2 linked regions of the Saccharomyces cerevisiae S288C genome follow. The protein of the gene in region 1 interacts with the protein of each later gene in a pairwise test. Each region holds a gene or a part of one and is shown on either strand. Other genes may lie near its edges. The genes, in order: UBP7 and MYO3.

Region 1 (16,887 bases):
CATAGTGAAATGTGGCTCCAAAGTATAAGCGTAAATGCGTTTGCTTATCGAACCGCAAGTAACTTGTAATTTCACCTCTATAATTTCGAGCGGTTTTTAAGATACACCATGTTTCAAGTAACCACCTTTCGCCTTTTTCCTCTGTTATCGAACTTCCATCTGTAAAAAGTTCGCTTGCAGAAGAAAAAAGGCACTACACGGAAGAGGACTGATAATTAATGAAAATCAAGCTATGATCAAACAACTACTGGCTCTAATATATGGTTTCGGCTACATAATCTAATTGTCATATCTGTTATCTCGACACTCGTCTCTCGATAAACGAGTTCTTCACTGTTGCTAGGTGCAGTGGTCGGCCATAGTTATCCATACAAAATTCCAATTTCTTACGCGCATAGCAGTCGATACATGCAAACATCTCGACTATTCTGGCGATAGCAGTACCAACAATCACCAGCACAAATTTTGTCACCTGTGCTTTGCTAGAGTTACTTCAGTACTAATTAGATTATAATATTTTGCAGCATTTATTGGTATAGAAAGAAAAGCTCGAGCACTACCAACTTTTATCTGATATACCGAAAAATGCATAAATATCTTCTCTAGTTTGTGCGTTTTCTTGTCGCCCTACCTCACAAAAGAGAAGTACTGATGGCTAATAATTGTTGGATCGATTCATTGTATCTCTTAAATGTCAACAGAGCATAAGTCAGACTCTTTGCCATTTTTAAAAAGCTGCGAAGGCGAACGTGACTACGGGGTGCGGGTTTTTGTATTGCTAATGTAGCATGACAGCTTATCCAATGTTTTGTTGTGTTCATTCAAACTATTTTGAGCCTCACTTCAATTTTGTTTGACTACTAACATGGCAGCATGCGTCGTTTCTAGGTGCTAGCCAGGCTGTGAGAACGTAAAATTAGCCTATGTTCAACATTCTCTGCTTTTCAATGTCACTGTTCATTTTGTTACTATGAAAGTAGTTCGTCGCAATTTGTACTTTTCTTCGAAAGTCTTCTTTTGCAGTAGATGAAGTGTGTTCTGAGAAATTGATGCTTTCAAATGGCCTTAAAAAATTTTTGTATCATAGCTAACAACATACTGTTGCGCCAGGGGAAGTGAAATCATGGTTGTATATTACAATAGCATTATGTGCATTTACCAAGTATGGAAAAGCGGAAAGTGTGAAAGAAGTTTATGAAAAAAGCGGAAAATAAAAAAAAAAAGTTTATTTTCCTGTGACTTCTGGGAAGCAGTTAGACCTCCTTCGCTGTATTCTTAGGTGCTATACCTCATTTCCACGATGGTAATAGACGATCAGTCTATTAATGCGCTAAAGAACGTAGAAAAGTTATTAACTGAAGAAGCTTTGCTAATGCCGTCGCACATTAAACGGCTAGACATTGCCTTGAATAGGAAGCCGAATAATCTACGAAATATCATGGAGCTTCAGGGCCTTGCATATACTATAGTAAAAAAAAAACTAAGTTTTCCCCTGTAGTAAACAGGGAGATACCGTACGGAGGTCTGAATTCCCTACAGAAGTAGCTGTAAAAATTCAGAATTCGCAACAACCTATAATTGAGTTAAGTGCCTTTCCAAGCTAAAAAGTTTGAGGTTATAGGGGCTTAGCATCCACACGTCACAATCTCGGGTATCGAGTATAGTATGTAGAATTACGGCAGGAGGTTTCCCAATGAACAAAGGACAGGGGCACGGTGAGCTGTCGAAGGTATCCATTTTATCATGTTTCGTTTGTACAAGCACGACATACTAAGACATTTACCGTATGGGAGTTGTTGTCCTAGCGTAGTTCTCGCTCCCCCAGCAAAGCTCAAAAAAGTACGTCATTTAGAATAGTTTGTGAGCAAATTACCAGTCGGTATGCTACGTTAGAAAGGCCCACAGTATTCTTCTACCAAAGGCGTGCCTTTGTTGAACTCGATCCATTATGAGGGCTTCCATTATTCCCCGCATTTTTATTACTCTGAACAGGAATAAAAAGAAAAAACCCAGTTTAGGAAATTATCCGGGGGCGAAGAAATACGCGTAGCGTTAATCGACCCCACGTCCAGGGTTTTTCCATGGAGGTTTCTGGAAAAACTGACGAGGAATGTGATTATAAATCCCTTTATGTGATGTCTAAGACTTTTAAGGTACGCCCGATGTTTGCCTATTACCATCATAGAGACGTTTCTTTTCGAGGAATGCTTAAACGACTTTGTTTGACAAAAATGTTGCCTAAGGGCTCTATAGTAAACCATTTGGAAGAAAGATTTGACGACTTTTTTTTTTTGGATTTCGATCCTATAATCCTTCCTCCTGAAAAGAAACATATAAATAGATATGTATTATTCTTCAAAACATTCTCTTGTTCTTGTGCTTTTTTTTTACCATATATCTTACTTTTTTTTTTCTCTCAGAGAAACAAGCAAAACAAAAAGCTTTTCTTTTCACTAACGTATATGATGCTTTTGCAAGCTTTCCTTTTCCTTTTGGCTGGTTTTGCAGCCAAAATATCTGCATCAATGACAAACGAAACTAGCGATAGACCTTTGGTCCACTTCACACCCAACAAGGGCTGGATGAATGACCCAAATGGGTTGTGGTACGATGAAAAAGATGCCAAATGGCATCTGTACTTTCAATACAACCCAAATGACACCGTATGGGGTACGCCATTGTTTTGGGGCCATGCTACTTCCGATGATTTGACTAATTGGGAAGATCAACCCATTGCTATCGCTCCCAAGCGTAACGATTCAGGTGCTTTCTCTGGCTCCATGGTGGTTGATTACAACAACACGAGTGGGTTTTTCAATGATACTATTGATCCAAGACAAAGATGCGTTGCGATTTGGACTTATAACACTCCTGAAAGTGAAGAGCAATACATTAGCTATTCTCTTGATGGTGGTTACACTTTTACTGAATACCAAAAGAACCCTGTTTTAGCTGCCAACTCCACTCAATTCAGAGATCCAAAGGTGTTCTGGTATGAACCTTCTCAAAAATGGATTATGACGGCTGCCAAATCACAAGACTACAAAATTGAAATTTACTCCTCTGATGACTTGAAGTCCTGGAAGCTAGAATCTGCATTTGCCAATGAAGGTTTCTTAGGCTACCAATACGAATGTCCAGGTTTGATTGAAGTCCCAACTGAGCAAGATCCTTCCAAATCTTATTGGGTCATGTTTATTTCTATCAACCCAGGTGCACCTGCTGGCGGTTCCTTCAACCAATATTTTGTTGGATCCTTCAATGGTACTCATTTTGAAGCGTTTGACAATCAATCTAGAGTGGTAGATTTTGGTAAGGACTACTATGCCTTGCAAACTTTCTTCAACACTGACCCAACCTACGGTTCAGCATTAGGTATTGCCTGGGCTTCAAACTGGGAGTACAGTGCCTTTGTCCCAACTAACCCATGGAGATCATCCATGTCTTTGGTCCGCAAGTTTTCTTTGAACACTGAATATCAAGCTAATCCAGAGACTGAATTGATCAATTTGAAAGCCGAACCAATATTGAACATTAGTAATGCTGGTCCCTGGTCTCGTTTTGCTACTAACACAACTCTAACTAAGGCCAATTCTTACAATGTCGATTTGAGCAACTCGACTGGTACCCTAGAGTTTGAGTTGGTTTACGCTGTTAACACCACACAAACCATATCCAAATCCGTCTTTGCCGACTTATCACTTTGGTTCAAGGGTTTAGAAGATCCTGAAGAATATTTGAGAATGGGTTTTGAAGTCAGTGCTTCTTCCTTCTTTTTGGACCGTGGTAACTCTAAGGTCAAGTTTGTCAAGGAGAACCCATATTTCACAAACAGAATGTCTGTCAACAACCAACCATTCAAGTCTGAGAACGACCTAAGTTACTATAAAGTGTACGGCCTACTGGATCAAAACATCTTGGAATTGTACTTCAACGATGGAGATGTGGTTTCTACAAATACCTACTTCATGACCACCGGTAACGCTCTAGGATCTGTGAACATGACCACTGGTGTCGATAATTTGTTCTACATTGACAAGTTCCAAGTAAGGGAAGTAAAATAGAGGTTATAAAACTTATTGTCTTTTTTATTTTTTTCAAAAGCCATTCTAAAGGGCTTTAGCTAACGAGTGACGAATGTAAAACTTTATGATTTCAAAGAATACCTCCAAACCATTGAAAATGTATTTTTATTTTTATTTTCTCCCGACCCCAGTTACCTGGAATTTGTTCTTTATGTACTTTATATAAGTATAATTCTCTTAAAAATTTTTACTACTTTGCAATAGACATCATTTTTTCACGTAATAAACCCACAATCGTAATGTAGTTGCCTTACACTACTAGGATGGACCTTTTTGCCTTTATCTGTTTTGTTACTGACACAATGAAACCGGGTAAAGTATTAGTTATGTGAAAATTTAAAAGCATTAAGTAGAAGTATACCATATTGTAAAAAAAAAAAGCGTTGTCTTCTACGTAAAAGTGTTCTCAAAAAGAAGTAGTGAGGGAAATGGATACCAAGCTATCTGTAACAGGAGCTAAAAAATCTCAGGGAAAAGCTTCTGGTTTGGGAAACGAAGGAACTCCAATCGGGAATGAGGAGAGCACAAATAAAGCTAAAAATGGAAATAAAAAGCGGAATAAAAATCGAAACAGAAATAAGAAGACAGAGACAAAGGAACAAAATGAACCTAAACCTGTGACTGGAGGGGAAGAAGTGAGAGTCGAGAAATCTCAAGCGAAAAACAGAAGGCGGAAAAACAATAATGGAGCTAATAAAAAGAATACCCTACACTACTCAAAGGAAATTAATGTAGAAGAGCGAAAACAAATCGCAAAAAGGCAAGAAGAAATCGAACAATGCATTCACACCTTATCCGATTTTAAACTGTTTAAAAAGGGTAAGCACGTTACCTCATATGGCTATCGAATCTCCCCCATGACAGACTCCGGTAAGATTTCTTTGAAAATTTTATTCAACATACCTTTGGATTATCCAAAGGCCCCAATAAAACTAACGATGAAAAGTAATGAAGAAGTTTCCTCTTACATGGACACCGTGATAGCGAATTTCAACTGGAAAGCCCGTCAATTGGTTAAGGAGGACTGGAGGATATTATCTCAAATAAACTATTTGGTTAGTGAGTTAGAAATATTGAAAATGGAAAATTATAAACAAATTGATAAACTACGTAATAGCTTTTACAAAACCATATAAATATGAGCATAATAAAAAGGGAGAATATTAACTATTATCAAGTATTAAAACTATTCTTTAATAAAGATGGCGGCGGCACCCATACCAGTACCGATACACATACTAACAACCCCGATTTGATCCTTTTTCAGTTCTCTTAGTATGGTAGCTACTTGCCTTGCGCCAGTACAACCCAAGGGATGGCCTAACGCGATTGCACCACCTCTTGGATTTACTTTATTCAAATCGATGCCCAGTTTATGGATGCAGTATAATGCTTGGGCCGCGAATGCTTCATTTATTTCAAAAATATCGATATCTTGGACTTGCAAGCCAGTAGCTTCCAGGACTTTTGGTATGGCGTATGCAGGGCCCACACCCATGATTTCAGGGGGAACCCCCACTGTTTGAAAATCGATGTAGCGACCTAGCACAGGCAGATTTAACTGGTTGGCTACGGACCTGCGGGCTAACAAGACACCTGCCACACCATCGGAGACCTGGGATGCATTGCCCGCAGTTGTGGTTCCTCTGTCTTTGATAAAGGCAGGCCTGATGCTTGAAAGCGACTCCGCAGTGACGTTAGGGCGTGGCCCTTCGTCCGACTGGCAAATTGAGCCATCTGGTAATTTTATAGGTAAAATTTCATCTTCGAAAAGCCCCTCATTTTTCGCCTTGTAAGCTTTTTGATATGAATTCGCAGCGAACTCGTCTTGATCCTTTCTACTGATCTTGAAATTAGCGGCAACATTCTCATTAGTAATGCCCATTGGTATTAGACATTTCTTCGCTTCTCGGTTTTTTTGCAGCTCTTCAGAGGAGATCATGCCCAAGGGATTGACGTTTTTGTAGTTATTGGTCATTGATTCCACTCCCAGCGCCAAACCAATATCAATTTGCCCAACCTTAATCTTGTTGGCAATATCGTTCACCGCCGTTAAACCTGAAGAACATTGTCTGTTTAAAGCGACAAATGGCGTCGAGTAGGGAATCCCACTTGCCAAGCATGCAGCCCTGTGTTCTGTAGCACCGGCTCCAACATTGAGAACATTTCCACAGGCAACTTCTTCGATTAAGTTCAAATCAGCCCTCAAAGGTTCCGGAAACCTCCCGATGAACTCATTGAGAAAGTTGTATAATAAGTAGTCTGTGTTTACATCTTTGAAGGCACCTTTAAAACCTTTACCGATGGCAGACCTGTTAGCAGCCACAATAACTACATCTTCGGGTCTTTTCTCCAGCAACGAGTTCTTCCTCTTCGATTCACCCTTACCCATGGCGCTCTCCACCAAATGATCCTTGATACTTTGTAGTCTTTGAGACATTGCTTTTATGTAGTGTTATATTCACTCTGTACTCAGAGCCACAAGAAATAACCATTCGATTTCAATAGAACTGAGATGCAAAAGTATACCCTATTTATATCTCTTCTTTCTAGTAAAACTCCAATAAATTTGAAACCAATAGAGGGAGAAAGGAAAAAAAAGCTGCGGTGTTAATACTATTATCCCCGTTTCCCTTTGATAGCGCCTTACACGGCGCTACCACATCATTACCCTCCTCATGTTGACGCGTCAAGTTTTTTTTCTTTTTTCGCTATTTGTGGCATAGGTTCAAAACTAGCAAATTCTTGATCTTTTGAAGATTACATAGTGATGATGATCGTGACACAAAAGCAGATAAAAAAATAGCACAATCATCAGCGATGGACTCTTCCCCGAACAAGAAGACGTACCGCTACCCTCGCAGATCGCTGTCACTTCACGCGCGTGATAGGGTCAGCGAAGCCCGTAAATTGGAAGAATTGAATTTGAACGATGGGCTGGTTGCCGCTGGCTTGCAGTTGGTCGGTGTAGCGTTAGAGAAACAAGGTACAGGATCACATATATACATGAAACAGAAGAATTTCTCAGCTAATGACGTTTCTTCGTCACCAATGGTTTCCGAAGAAGTGAACGGATCGGAAATGGATTTTAATCCGAAGTGCATGCCTCAGGACGCATCACTCGTCGAAAGAATGTTTGATGAGCTTTTAAAAGATGGAACTTTTTTTTGGGGGGCTGCTTATAAGAATTTACAAAACATCTCTCTACGAAGGAAATGGTTATTGATATGTAAAATCCGTAGTTCCAATCATTGGGGGAAAAAGAAAGTGACTTCGAGCACGACATACTCTACACATTTGGCCACTAATGAACTAGCTGAAAACGCACACTTTTTGGATGGCCTAGTTAGAAACCTTTCAACAGGTGGCATGAAGTTATCGAAGGCTCTATATAAACTAGAAAAATTCCTGCGAAAGCAAAGCTTTTTGCAACTTTTTCTCAAGGATGAAATTTACTTGACGACATTGATCGAAAAGACTTTGCCACTCATATCCAAGGAATTACAATTTGTTTATCTTCGGTGCTTTAAAATACTGATGAACAACCCACTGGCGAGAATAAGAGCACTACATTCTGAGCCTTTAATTCGCTGGTTCACCGAGCTTCTGACGGATCAAAATTCTAATTTGAAATGTCAGTTACTTTCTATGGAGTTACTTTTATTATTAACGTATGTTGAGGGTTCCACGGGTTGTGAGTTGATATGGGACCAGCTTTCCATATTATTCACCGATTGGCTAGAATGGTTTGACAAAATCCTTGCGGATGATATTGCAATTCATTCATCCCTTTATTTGAACTGGAACCAATTAAAAATAGACTATTCGACAACTTTCCTACTGCTAATAAACTCCATACTGCAAGGTTTCAACAACAAGACTGCACTAGAAATTTTGAATTTTTTGAAAAAGAATAATATACATAACACTATCACATTTTTAGAACTGGCCTATAAAGATGATCCTAATAGTGTCGTGATCATGGAACAAATAAAACAATTCAAATCCAAAGAATCTGCGATATTTGACTCGATGATAAAAACTACCAACGATACGAATTCGCTTCACCCAACAAAAGATATCGCAAGAATAGAAAGCGAGCCTCTATGTCTTGAAAATTGCCTGTTATTGAAGGCAAAAGATAGTCCCGTAGAGGCACCAATAAACGAGATTATTCAATCGCTGTGGAAAATCTTAGACTCTCAAAAACCATACTCAGAATCTATTAAACTATTAAAATTGATAAATTCTTTGCTGTTTTATCTCATAGATTCCTTTCAAGTGTCAACGAATCCTTCTTTTGATGAAACCTTGGAGTCCGCAGAAAATGTGGATTATGTTTTTCAAGATTCTGTTAATAAATTGTTGGATTCTCTACAATCTGATGAAATTGCTAGAAGAGCGGTCACAGAAATTGATGATCTTAATGCTAAGATTTCTCATTTGAATGAAAAATTAAATTTAGTAGAAAATCATGATAAAGATCATTTAATAGCAAAACTAGATGAAAGTGAATCTTTGATATCTCTGAAAACCAAGGAAATTGAAAATCTGAAACTGCAGTTGAAGGCAACCAAGAAAAGACTAGACCAAATTACCACGCATCAAAGGTTATATGACCAGCCACCTTCATTGGCAAGTAGCAACTTGAGTATTGCCGGCTCGATAATAAAAAATAATAGTCATGGAAATATCATTTTCCAAAATTTAGCAAAAAAGCAACAGCAGCAGCAAAAAATTTCTCTGCCCAAGCGTTCAACTAGTCTACTAAAAAGTAAAAGAGTTACGTCCCTTTCATCATATTTAACTGATGCAAATAACGAAAATGAGTCCCAAAATGAATCCGAAGATAAATCAAAAGACTCATTATTTCAAAGATCTACGTCAACCATTAATTTTAATATCCCTTCTATGAAAAATATTACTAATATGCAAAATGTCTCTCTAAATTCGATACTTTCAGAGTTGGAATTTTCAAATAGCCTAGGAACACAACCTAATTACCAATCGTCTCCCGTGTTGTCTTCGGTTTCTTCTTCACCAAAACTTTTCCCTCGACTTTCCTCAGATAGTCTTGATAATGGAATCCAACTAGTACCTGAAGTTGTTAAACTACCTCAACTTCCACCGCCCCCTCCTCCACCTCCCCCTCCTCCACTTCCACAGTCTCTTTTGACTGAAGCAGAAGCTAAACCGGATGGTGTTTCCTGTATTGCAGCACCTGCACCGCCACCCCTTCCAGATCTATTTAAAACTAAAACTTGTGGCGCCGTTCCACCACCACCACCGCCACCGCCTTTACCCGAGTCCTTGTCGATGAACAAAGGCCCCTCCAATCACGATTTAGTTACTCCTCCAGCTCCACCTTTACCAAATGGTCTTCTTTCTTCCTCCTCAGTGTCTATCAATCCAACGACAACCGATTTAAAACCACCTCCAACTGAAAAGCGATTGAAGCAAATCCACTGGGATAAGGTGGAGGATATCAAAGACACACTTTGGGAAGACACGTTTCAACGCCAAGAAACAATCAAAGAATTACAAACTGATGGTATATTCTCTCAGATTGAAGATATTTTTAAGATGAAAAGTCCGACTAAGATTGCAAATAAAAGGAACGCAGAATCCTCAATTGCCTTGTCTTCAAACAATGGCAAGTCTTCCAATGAGCTGAAGAAAATTTCATTCTTATCAAGAGATTTGGCTCAGCAATTTGGTATTAATTTACACATGTTTTCCCAATTATCTGATATGGAATTTGTTATGAAAGTATTGAACTGTGATAACGACATTGTCCAAAATGTTAACATACTGAAATTTTTTTGTAAAGAAGAGTTAGTAAATATACCAAAAAGTATGCTTAATAAGTACGAGCCATATTCACAGGGTAAGGATGGTAAAGCAGTAAGTGACTTACAAAGAGCTGACAGAATATTTTTGGAGTTGTGTATCAATTTAAGATTTTATTGGAATGCAAGATCAAAGAGTCTGCTGACATTGTCAACATACGAGAGAGATTATTACGATTTGATTTTCAAGTTACAAAAAATTGATGATGCAATTTCACACTTAAATCGTTCACCTAAATTTAAAAGTTTGATGTTTATTATCACGGAAATAGGCAATCATATGAATAAAAGAATTGTTAAGGGTATCAAATTGAAGTCATTGACTAAACTTGCCTTTGTCAGATCCAGTATTGATCAAAATGTATCATTTTTGCATTTTATTGAAAAAGTCATAAGAATAAAATATCCTGATATATACGGTTTTGTGGATGATTTGAAGAACATTGAAGATTTAGGTAAAATCTCACTAGAACACGTTGAATCAGAGTGTCATGAATTTCATAAAAAAATTGAGGATTTAGTTACTCAGTTTCAAGTAGGAAAGCTATCCAAAGAGGAGAACTTAGACCCCAGAGATCAAATTATTAAAAAGGTCAAGTTTAAGATTAATCGGGCCAAAACAAAAAGTGAATTATTGATTGGTCAATGTAAATTAACTTTAATAGATTTGAATAAACTGATGAAATATTACGGTGAAGATCCCAAAGATAAAGAGAGTAAAAACGAATTTTTCCAACCCTTTATTGAATTTTTAGCCATGTTTAAGAAATGTGCCAAGGAAAACATTGAAAAGGAGGAAATGGAAAGAGTGTACGAACAAAGGAAGAGCTTGTTAGATATGAGGACAAGCAGTAATAAGAAAAGCAATGGAAGTGATGAAAACGATGGTGAAAAAGTAAACAGGGATGCTGTTGATCTACTCATATCTAAATTACGCGAAGTAAAGAAGGATCCAGAACCTCTAAGAAGAAGAAAGAGTACAAAACTCAATGAAATAGCCATTAACGTACATGAAGGAGATGTAAAAACGAGAAAGGATGAAGATCACGTTTTACTAGAGAGAACGCATGCTATGCTGAACGATATTCAAAATATATAGTGAAGACTTAGTATTTTATGTAGTTGTGGAGCTTATATAAAGAAATGGACAATATTCGCAATCGCTTCTCAAAAGGGAAATATTTTCCCTTTTCGGGCGGTGGTCGTGTTGACAAATTTCCTAGTTAAGAACTAAGATTTGGAGATGGACAGATTCATTAATAAATTTCAAAATAAGCACAGAAAGCATCGAATTTTTAGCTCAAAACAATCTACTTTTCAATCATCAAAACAGACTATTGAATAAAGATGGGCAATGTGTCTGTGGCAGTGGGAACGGCAGTTGGGATTCCAATTGCTGTGGGCGTAATAATAGCCCTGATATTTTGGTGTAAATTACAACGACGTTACAAAAAAGAAGAGATTAGAGATGCTGATTTGGAGAAGATGGTAATGGAAGAAGTGGCAGTGTCGGTATATGATGGTTTTAAAGCCGAAATTAACAGCTCAAGTGAAGCTTCCACGATAAACGAAAAGGAAGCAAACCAGGATCTTAAACCCTGCCAAGAAAAAACCGCCAAGGCAGGGTACACACCAGCATACAGAAGGCAATTGAACGCTAGTATGGGGACTTTGCGTCCAAAAAAGCAGAGCACTGCATATACCAATGTCCCCGTCATTTTCAGCGGCGAAAAGGTGAATTATGGGATGGTCAGAGATCCTTCCTATAGTTTTATGTATCCACTGACGCTATCGCGCAAAGAAACGAGTAGTTTGAGATCAGCTTCTACGTCAAACTTGTCATCGAGCACAGAAAATACTGCGTTACACGAAGAAATAAAACTGGATGACCCATATGAAAACGATTTTACGAATTATACTGTCAACAAGAGAGAATTTATTGACAGCTTACGGCCACACTAATATATATGCATATAGATATATAAACGTACCTACATAGTTTTGCATTTGTATAGATACCCAGACCACTTGTAATAACGATAAAAATAAAATAATAATAAAGGATATTTACAGACAAATAGCACCATACTTGCTATTAAATTGGTGTCTTGGTATTTTCAGCTAGCAAATCGATCTTTTGGCCAGCGGCAGTGACGCTCCATTCATGAATCAAAAACTCTTCGTCGTGAGTGTTCCTATCGGCAACCAGTCTAACGGTTCCAGTAACGTTTTTGTCCCCCTTGATATAAAACGTAATGTTAATCCTACCCTTCACAGAGTTCAGTTCACCGTAGACCCAAGGGATGATACCATCAAATTCTATGCTCTCACCCAGTATGTTTTTAGTTGCTGGAGACCGTCTTATATAATACAGCGTGTTGGAGATAATGGGGGACTCCGTCTTTTCATAGTTGAAGATCAAAGATAGTGCGGACCCAATGGCCACAGAAAACAACAAAAATCCAGCTATTCGCTTTCTCCTCTCCGTGGTTGGGTCAGGCAATTCTCTGTCAATTCTCAATGGCCTGTTCTTGTCTTTCAAAACGATCTTGGCCTCATCTTCAGCGACACTATTATTGAATCTAGCGCTGGTAGAGAATGAGTGCAGCAAGGAACCACGCACTAGCACAGCCTTAGCTGCAGAAGGTGTCACTTTCGGCAACCCTTTAGTTACTAGTCTTAACATCATGTATAGTCTGTTTTATCTTTTACTTTTATGTCGTGGACTGGTACGGAGAGAAAGATCGAACTGTTTTAAAACTGGGATTAAAATGACAAGAAGGCGCTTTCTTTCTCTCCACAATGATCAAAACAAGAACAAGCAAAACGCAAAGAGATGACATTAGTAAGTACCCAAATGAGCTACTAACAACGCATCCGGTAATACTAACAAGAGAAATTGGTTAGGTAGGGAAACTAGTACACATATCCATAGATTTGGTCTTGGTATCAACGTGCCTCGCGGGGATTAAACGCAATACAGGTTTGACGCCTAAACTGGAGACTCTGGACAATCAGACTATGAGAAACTACATGAAGCGGTACTTGAACTTGGGAGAGTCTGTATACGACTATTCTGTTGCCACTTGTGGCTCCTCGACGTATTTCGCTAGGAAATAGGTACGTTTATATTCTATATATGTTGATAATATTTTGTATAACGGCACCCAGCCGGGGGCCAAAATTAATAACCGCAACTTAAAGAGCTATCGCTATCGATTACGCATAGAACTTTAAATGCTAGACGATGATAAGGGCACGGCCATGCATCCACATATAACGCCGTTCACGCCTGAGTACTCAAATGAATTACTGCGAAGGGTCCAGGACCTGTACCACGAAGATATCAAGCACTACTATCCGCAGCTAAAACTGGAGAAGCTGCTGGACCTTCTGGAGCATACAGAGTACCTATTCGAGTTATATCTAGATTCAATCCATCACGATAGGCCCAACGATGCACTGACAGCGTTTATCATTGGATGCTACTACGTGTTCTTAATTATTCCACAATCTTTGCAGTTCCAAACACGAAACAAGTCCTACAGCATCTATACAGATCTAAAAAAGATGTATGAGAATGAAATGAACATGACCAATGTTGTGCTTATGGTGAAGAAAGAAATCGGTGTGGTCCTAGATGAATCGGTTAAACACGGGGCCGGTATTGAGCACAGAATCACCAAGAAGAGGGCATTTTCAGTTCCAGCTGACGATCTTTCAGGTCAGGTAGCTTCACTATCACTTGACACCGCGGCACCGCAAGATCATGGCCTCAAAGGCACGTTTACTGAAGACGACGCAGAACAATCTTCACCTGTTTGGACAGCACCAAACTTAGAGCCCAACGACCAATTGAAACTGGCTTTATTGCCCGAAGTGATACCAACGCCAGCTTTTCGTGAGCCTGAAAGAAAGACAAGTGTTCCAGTGAGACCATCTGTTTTATTGGAAGATGTACCCTCCATATACCACGAGGATGACACTAGTTTCGCATCTTTGAACCCACCATTTCGAGAAATAACCGCAGATAGATCAGTAACTCATCGAAAGGATTCTTACCATTCTGTTTATATGGTGGATAGCGGCAACCTCAAGGAAGACAATGATGATCTGTTCAACGTTGAGAATGATGGCTTCATCCAGAGTTTGGATATTTTACAAAAGCAGAGTATAATCACAGCACCAGAATTGTTTAGTATTTTATCGAATCGCGTTGAACGTGAAAAGGTTTTACTCATCGACTTGAGAATACCACAAAGATCTGCAATAAATCACATTGTGGCTCCGAACTTAGTGAATGTGGATCCAAACTTGTTGTGGGACAAGCAGACGAACACACCTATCTACAAGGATGACATATTGGAACATTTACTGAAGGAGAATGAGAATTTTATAAACCGTAATAAATTTGATTACATTGTTTACTATACTGATGTGAAGACCTTCATGACTATAAATTTTGATTATGCATTTATTTTTTTTTATTTGATGCTGACTTCTCAGAAGACTCCTTTAACAACTGTACCTACTACCCTCTTAGGTGGGTACGAAAAATGGAAGAAAACTCTGCATTCGTATGCCCAGGAGTATCATATCTCTATTGAAGATTACTTGTACAGACCTTACTCACAGAAGGCGCGCTTACAACAGGAGCAGCAGCAGCAGCAGCAGCAGCCGGATTCTCAGGACTCTTTTTCCGCTAAGGAATCATCTACAAAAGTTCCTGAGCCTCCCTCCTGGAAGCCCCCTGACCTGCCTATAAGGTTAAGGAAACGTCCTCCACCTCCACCGCCTGTATCAATGCCCACAACCCCAGAAATTCCACCTCCTCTGCCCCCTAAGATAATGGTTCATTCACAAGTCAGTTCTATCTCTCGAAAGCCGCCAATACCAGCAAAGCAGCATGTCAAAAAGGAACAACTTAACTCCAATGAAATTATTCAAAGAAAAAGACAGCACCAGCATCAGCATTACGACCAACAAATATTACAACCGCAAAGGGCGTACAATATTCCAACTATTGAACGCAGTCCAAACGTATACGTTTCGTTGTCCATCACGGGACTAAGAAATTTGGGCAATACATGTTACATTAATAGTATGATACAATGTCTATTCGCTGCGAAAACATTCCGGACACTCTTCATTTCATCCAAATATAAGAGCTATCTGCAACCAATAAGGAGCAACGGATCTCATTATTCTCCTAAACTTTCGAATTCACTAAGTATGCTCTTCAACAAGATGTATCTAAATGGTGGTTGCTCAGTTGTCCCAACAGGATTTCTCAAAGTTATCAATCAATTGCGTCCCGATTTGAAAATTCCTGATGACCAACAGGATACCCAAGAGTTCCTAATGATACTTTTAGACAGGTTACACGATGAACTTTCCGACCAACAGCATGTAGCGAACGATTATCCGAATTTATTATTGTATAATGCAGATGCCCTAAAGGTTTCAAACAACGAATATAAGCACTGGTTTGACAAAAATGTCATTGGTAATGGTATATCTCCTATTGATGACATTTTTCAAGGGCAAATGGAGAACAGCTTACAATGTAAAAGGTGCGGTTACACTACTTTCAACTATAGCACATTTTATGTTTTATCACTGGCTATACCAAGACGTTCCATGAAGTTGAGTAAACTTGGTAGGTCTACTGAGAAAAGAGTTAAGTTAGAGGATTGTATTAATATGTTTACAAGCGATGAGGTACTCTCTGGTGAAAATGCATGGGATTGCCCACGCTGTGGCCCCACGGCGTCTGTGTCTACATCTGTGTCTGCATTAGAGAATGAGCCATCCATTGTTAAGAGTAAAAAGAAAAAAAGTCGGTTTTTTACATTACATACAGGAACCAAGCGTCGTCATCTCGACTTTTTTGGAGACGGTATTACTGAGGGCCATAATAGCAATAATAATAATACGACAATCTTTGAACGAGAAAGGTCCAGATCACCCTTCAGGATGTTGGGTGGTAGTGGGAAGAGGTCCAGTTCCAGTACACCGTTCAGTACTGGTGGTAATGATAGTAACAACTCGAGTGATTACAAGAACAAAAAATTGACAACAGTGAAAACGATAAATTTTGTAACTTTACCAAAAATCTTAGTCATCCATTTATCGAGATTTTATTACGATTTGACCAAGAAAAATAACACCGTCGTAACATATCCATTGATACTAAACATTATATTGAAAAACAATGACACTATGAAATATAAGCTATTTGGAGTGGTTAACCATACAGGCACATTAATCAGTGGCCATTACACGTCACTGGTGAATAAAGACCTTGAACACAATGTGAATATTGGGCGTTCTAAATGGTACTATTTCGACGATGAGGTTGTCAAGGCAGATAGGAAACATGGATCTGATAAAAACTTGAAAATTTCAAGTAGCGATGTCTACGTATTGTTTTATGAAAGGGTTTATGACTAGCAAAATTTTGCATTTTTTTTTTTGCACCATAAATATGTATTGCGTATGCACCAGGACGTTGAAGAATATTATTTAGTGTTTCTATATTTTATGATAAAACTAGAGATAAAGGGGATAATTAAAACGATATTAAAACGGAAGTCTACACAATGATTATATAGATTATATTATGTATTGGAAATAGAATATAAACACTAGGAAGGTCATAATTTGAAGATCAATTGTAGTAGTAGAGTCTATTACCTCTTTTTTTTTTTTTCTTCATATATTTTTGTAGTTTTTTTAGTTTACTTTAACTCTTCCATTAAGGAAAATAGGTAATAATAGCGATTTCATTGCCATTACCACCATTATTATTATTGTTATTACTATCATTATTATTATTATCATCATTACCATTATTATTACTCTTGTGAATGTTATCTTTGTCACCCTTAACTATCATGATCGATTTAGACACCAAACGTCTTGATGAAGTTCACAGTTTTTTCAAGTTCCCA
Region 2 (6,722 bases), on another chromosome or scaffold:
TAACGATTTCTTTCCAAGACTCTGCTGCGTGAAATCACCAACAGTTATTCAACAATGTCACTCAGAGCAGTCCCAGGATATTTTGCTGCATATCCAAGTGAGGGTTTTCAAGGATTAGACTCCACGAAATATGATCACTTAGAATTGATTAACCATAAGAATTGGAAGGAACTGTATCATGCTATCCCTAGAAATACCAAAAATCGCCACTATAAGCTGTTGATTTTAGCTAGGCATGGTCAAGGTTACCACAATGCTGCCATACTGAGGTACGGTATGGAGAAATGGGACGCCTATTGGTCGTTGCTTTCGGGCGATGAACATGGAGAGTGGCTTGACTCTAAACTGACACCTCTGGGTAAAGATCAAGTTAGAAGAACAGGATCGAATGTCTTGCTACCAATGGCAAAGCAATTAGGTATGCTACCTCATGTGTTTTTCAGTTCTCCAATGAGAAGATGTCTCGAAACATTCATTGAGTCGTGGACACCAGTGTTAGCGGAGACGCAAGAATTACCGGCCGGAACTAAAATTTCTACACGCATTATAGAAGGTCTAAGGGAGACGTTGGGCTCTCACACTTGTGACAAAAGAGTGGCTCACTCAATGGCAGTTGACGAATACCAGGATTTCAGCACGGAATCGGGCCACACTGTACATTGGCAATATGTACCAGATTACCCAGAAGATGATGAATTGTGGCTTCCTGATCATAGAGAAACGTGTGCTGAAATGGACAAACGTACACTGAATGGATTATTTGAACTATTTAATCAATTGTCAAGCGAAGAAAAATTCATCTCGCTTACTTGTCACTCAGGTGTCATTCAAAGTGTCTTGAGAAACTTACAGCATCCTCCAATTTATAACCTGGACACAGGTAAAGTCGTCGCTGTCGTCGTGGAAGTACCAGTCAACACGGCCGATCGCGGCAGGCTCTGAATTTTCCCACAGCGCCCATTCGGGACTTTCAAATATGTGGGTAATTTAAATAATTTTTTATAGATATAATAGAGTGGATGGAATAAAACCCTTTCTTTTCAAATAATGTGTTAAGCACTTTGAGAAATGGTTGAACCTTTCACTTTGATCATCGCTTTCTCAAGCTAGGTGAGAACATACATTTGAGTATAAAATAAAAAATGCATATGTGAAATTATATGAATGCAAAGGGTTCTTAGTTCCTTTTTTATTCTTGTATAGTTTTCACCGCTATGTCCACTCCCTCTTTTATACTATACTAATCGATGCCACAGAAAATATAGGCTTGGAAGTAATAAGCCCCCTTCATATACTTTCGTACAAGAAAATGTAACCGGTACATTAAAACAAACTTCAGTAGCCTCCCCTAATCACTCGGCAGGCAGACCTACGATCTTGAACAACTATTATATAGTAGCAAGATGCTAGCTCCATCGCTTTTCTAACTAAAGGTAAACTGATCGATTTGCATTTATATAATAAACCTCGGGAAGAGCTTTACCGAAAAAGGAAACCGTTTGCTGTGACAAGTAAATATAGAGTAATCTATTATAAAGGGTTAAAGCAATCTCGATTCAATTGACCGCGAGCAAATTAACAACAATCCAGTTATAAAACATTAATTTGCTGATCACATTTGAATCAAAAAAAGTAAAGAGAAATACTTATAACCGTCAATGGCTGTCATAAAAAAGGGAGCACGCAGAAAGGACGTTAAGGAGCCCAAGAAGAGATCTGCAAAAATCAAAAAGGCTACATTTGATGCAAATAAAAAGAAAGAAGTAGGTATTTCTGATTTGACACTTTTGTCAAAAATATCTGATGAATCTATCAATGAAAATTTGAAAAAAAGATTTAAGAATGGAATTATTTATACCTATATTGGCCATGTGTTAATTAGTGTAAATCCGTTCCGCGATTTGGGAATATATACAAATGCCGTTTTAGAGTCATATAAAGGAAAAAATAGACTTGAAGTTCCACCACACGTGTTTGCTATTGCGGAATCTATGTACTACAATCTCAAATCATACAATGAAAATCAGTGTGTTATTATTTCTGGTGAGTCTGGTGCCGGTAAGACAGAAGCAGCCAAACGTATTATGCAATATATTGCAGCTGCATCTAATAGCCATTCAGAATCGATTGGGAAGATCAAAGATATGGTTCTTGCTACTAATCCACTTCTCGAGTCATTCGGTTGTGCTAAAACTCTGCGGAACAACAATTCTTCAAGGCACGGGAAGTATCTAGAAATTAAATTCAACTCACAATTTGAACCTTGCGCAGGTAATATCACAAATTATTTGCTAGAGAAACAAAGAGTTGTTGGTCAAATTAAGAACGAAAGAAACTTTCATATTTTTTACCAATTCACTAAGGGAGCATCTGATACATATAAACAGATGTTCGGTGTGCAAATGCCTGAGCAATATATTTACACTGCTGCGGCTGGCTGTACTACTGCAGATACAATTGATGACGTAAAAGATTACGAAGGCACGTTAGAGGCTATGAGAACCATTGGTTTAGTCCAGGAAGAACAAGACCAAATTTTTAGGATGCTGGCGGCAATTCTGTGGATTGGTAACATTTCCTTTATAGAAAATGAAGAGGGCAATGCTCAGGTAGGAGATACCTCAGTGACTGATTTTGTCGCTTATTTGTTGCAGGTTGATGCTTCGTTACTGGTAAAATGTTTAGTGGAAAGAATCATGCAAACCAGTCATGGAATGAAGAGAGGCTCAGTTTATCATGTACCTTTGAACCCAGTCCAAGCAACTGCGGTGAGAGACGCCCTTGCTAAGGCAATTTATAATAATTTATTCGACTGGATTGTCGATAGGGTTAACGTATCTTTGCAGGCATTTCCTGGTGCTGATAAATCAATTGGGATTCTAGACATTTACGGCTTCGAAATTTTTGAACACAACTCTTTTGAGCAAATATGTATCAATTATGTTAATGAAAAGTTACAACAGATTTTTATCCAATTGACTTTGAAGGCTGAGCAAGAAACTTATGAAAGAGAAAAAATCAAATGGACCCCCATCAAATACTTTGACAATAAAGTTGTCTGTGATTTAATCGAGGCGAAAAATCCACCGGGCATTCTTGCTGCAATGAATGACTCTATTGCAACTGCTCATGCAGACTCCAATGCCGCTGACCAGGCGTTTGCTCAACGACTTAACTTATTTAATTCAAATCCATACTTCGAATTAAGGGCCAACAAATTTGTTATTAAACATTACGCTGGAGATGTCACCTATGACATCAATGGTATCACCGATAAAAATAAAGACCAACTTCAAAAGGACCTAATTGAATTAATTGGAACAACGACAAATACATTCCTTTCCACAATTTTTCCTGATGATGTTGACAAAGATTCAAAGAGACGGCCTCCAACAGCAGGTGACAAAATTATTAAAAGTGCAAATGAACTGGTGGAAACTTTGTCAAAAGCTGAGCCTTCCTATATCAGAACAATCAAGCCTAATCAAACTAAATCACCAAATGATTATGATGATCACCAAGTGCTACATCAAGTAAAATATTTGGGTTTGCAAGAAAATGTTCGTATCAGGAGAGCCGGTTTCGCTTACAGACAAACTTTCGAAAAATTCGTCGAAAGATTTTATTTACTATCTCCAGATTGTTCATATGCTGGTGATTACACTTGGGATGGGGACACCCTTGAGGCAGTCAAGCTTATTTTAAGAGATGCCATGATACCAGAAAAAGAATTTCAACTTGGAGTGACAAGCGTATTCATTAAAACTCCAGAATCTCTATTTGCTCTAGAAGACATGCGTGATAAATACTGGTACAACATGGCTGCTAGAATCCAGAGAGCATGGAGAAGGTTTCTTCAAAGGCGTATTGATGCTGCGATAAAAATTCAGCGTACTATCAGAGAGAAAAAGGGTGGAAACAAGTACGTCAAGCTTCGTGATTATGGAACCAAACTTTTAGCGGGTAAAAAAGAGAGAAGATCCATGTCTTTACTTGGATACAGGGCTTTTATGGGTGATTACTTATCCTGCAATGAGTCTAAAACGAAAGGATCGTACATCAGAAGACAGGTAGGAATTAAGGATAAAGTTGTTTTTTCGATAAAGGGGGAATGCCTGCACTCTAAATTTGGCAGATCAGCTCAAAGATTGAAAAAAGTGTTTATCTTAACAAAAAAGACATTTTATATTATTGGACAAACACGGGAACAGAATGCTATGAAATATACACAAGATTATAAAATTGATGTCGGTAAAATTAAACAAGTGAGCTTAACAAACCTCCAAGACGATTGGATGGGCGTTATCCTTGTTAATAGTACACAATCCGATCCACTCATTAACACGCCTTTCAAGACGGAATTAATGACACGTTTGAAAAAATTAAATGAAAAGATAATGATAAAAGTTGGTCCCACGATTGAGTATCACAAACAACCAAACAAGTTGCACACTGTCCGCTCAAAGATAAGCGATTCAGCACCGAAATACGGTGACATCTACAAGTCAAGTACAATATACGTGCGTCGTGGACACCCTGCTAACTCCAAATCGAATAAAAAACCTAAGAATCCAGGTGGGTTGAGCGGGAAACCTATCAAAAGCAAAAAGAGTAAACACAAATCTACTCATAAGCATACACATAGCCATAGAAGTCATAGGGATGCTGCAAAAAAGCAACCTCTCCCTTCGCAAAAACCTGTGAATCCGTTATCTTTGGCAGCTACCGCTGCACAGGCAGCATACAATCCTAAACCGGATAAGACCGTACCAATAAAGTCATCTGCAATCCCTGCTGCAAAAGTAAGCTCGAAACACAGCTCAAAACCCTCATCGAAGGAAAAAGTCGCAGTAAAGAAAGCCTCCTCAAGCCACAAATCCTCATCCGCCAAGCAAAACCAGGTATCGATGCCACCTTCAAAAGGGGTTGAAAAAAATAAAGAACCGTTAAAGGAGACAACTGCAACTGCAACTGCAAACATACCAATACCACCACCCCCTCCCCCCATGGGCCAACCAAAGGATCCGAAATTCGAAGCTGCATACGACTTTCCAGGTTCCGGATCATCTTCGGAGTTGCCATTAAAAAAGGGCGATATTGTATTTATAAGCAGAGATGAACCTAGTGGTTGGTCTTTAGCAAAGCTTCTCGATGGAAGCAAAGAAGGTTGGGTTCCTACTGCTTATATGACTCCTTATAAAGACACAAGAAATACGGTGCCTGTTGCAGCGACAGGGGCAGTGAATGACGTTACAAATCAGAAATCAAGCCAAATCGACAATACCATTTCAAGTGCACAAGAAGGTGTACAGTTTGGAAGTGCAACAGTTGGACCCACTAGTGATAATCAGAGTAATCCGGTGGGGACGTTTAGCGACGGTTTAGCTTCTGCATTGGCAGCAAGAGCAAACAAAATGCGGGCGGAAAGTGCTGACGATGATGATAATGACGATGGCGATGATGATGATGACTGGTAATTAACATGAATATATAGATGTTTAGTCTCTTATAGAATGGTTCTTCGTGCATGCCTCTTAACATACCAAAAGTGCATTACATATACTTTTAAACATACTCTCGCAGAAAGTTAAAGTCCCTTTTTTTTTTTTTTTTTCATTTTTTGTTTGTATTTTCCCGTTTTGAAAAACTCCCACTTTAATGCAGGACATCGTTCAAAACAAGCTTTAAAGATTTGACAGTAAAATCCTCACTTTACTCAAGACATTTTTCTCAAAAAAAGAGAAAGCACAGTAAACCCTCCTTAATTTTCCTTTTGCATAATACCAGACACTTAAAAATGAGCAAAGACAAAGATATCAAAGTCACTCCTGGAACTTGTGAATTAGTTGAACAAATACTCGCCTTACTCTCCCGGTATCTCTCATCTTATATTCACGTGCTGAACAAGTTCATCAGTCATTTGCGAAGGGTAGCTACGCTACGATTCGAGAGAACTACTTTGATTAAATTTGTTAAGAAATTGAGATTTTACAACGATTGTGTGTTAAGCTATAATGCATCAGAGTTTATCAATGAAGGTAAAAACGAATTAGACCCAGAGGCGGATTCGTTTGACAAGGTAATTTTACCAATAGCTTCAATGTTTGTTAAATGTGTTGAAACGTTTGACTTACTGAACTATTATCTAACGCAGTCATTACAAAAGGAAATTTTATCTAAAACTTTGAACGAGGACCTAACGCTAACAGCAGAGTCCATATTAGCCATTGACGATACCTACAATCATTTCGTGAAATTTTCTCAATGGATGATTGAGTCTTTGCGTATAGGCAGCAACCTGCTAGATTTAGAAGTTGTTCAATTTGCCATTAAATGCGCAGATGAGGACGGAACGAATATCGGAGAAACTGATAATATCTTCTTGCAGGAGATTCTTCCTGTCAACTCCGAAGAAGAATTTCAGACCTTGTCAGCTGCGTGGCACTCCATTTTAGATGGTAAGCTGAGCGCCTTGGACGAAGAATTTGATGTTGTCGCTACTAAATGGCATGACAAATTTGGTAAATTGAAAAACTGAGGCCTTCAGTTTTTAGCTCAAAAAGAGCAAATAAGTACCACTAGTTAATAGAACATATATATATACATGAATAGCCTCATCACATAGCACAGAAAGTAAGCTTTCAAAACACTGATGATCGGCTCTTATTCTGGCGTACTCATTTTCAGCATCTCAAACCGCGCTGTTTTTTTCTCACTTTTTG

What was found.
Region 2: the proteins of UBP7 (region 1) and MYO3 interact in binary tests that used the Saccharomyces cerevisiae proteins (3 or more experiments, as listed by UniProt).

Annotation. Positions count from the first base shown.
Region 1 is NC_001141.2:34,920-51,806, forward strand, and holds UBP7 (ubiquitin-specific protease UBP7), read left to right. Parts: upstream 1-13,171; coding exon 13,172-16,387; downstream 16,388-16,887. Other genes in the region: YIL163C (uncharacterized protein), read right to left, coding at 1,980-2,333; beta-fructofuranosidase SUC2, read left to right, coding at 2,466-4,064; SMU2 (Smu2p), read left to right, coding at 4,514-5,221; POT1 (acetyl-CoA C-acyltransferase), read right to left, coding at 5,272-6,525; formin BNR1, read left to right, coding at 6,906-11,033; AIM20 (Aim20p), read left to right, coding at 11,282-11,896; COA1 (Coa1p), read right to left, coding at 12,030-12,623; ATG44 (mitofissin), read left to right, coding at 12,771-12,779, 12,842-13,054; GUT2 (glycerol-3-phosphate dehydrogenase), read right to left, coding at 16,840-16,887. UniProt on the Saccharomyces cerevisiae protein: Involved in the sorting of ubiquitinated cargo proteins at the multivesicular body (MVB).
Region 2 is NC_001143.9:195,104-201,825, reverse strand, and holds MYO3 (myosin 3), read left to right. Parts: upstream 1-1,658; coding exon 1,659-5,477; downstream 5,478-6,722. Other genes in the region: PMU1 (putative phosphomutase), read left to right, coding at 55-942; SHE2 (She2p), read left to right, coding at 5,798-6,538. UniProt on the Saccharomyces cerevisiae protein: One of two redundant type-I myosins implicated in the organization of the actin cytoskeleton. Required for proper actin cytoskeleton polarization and for the internalization step in endocytosis.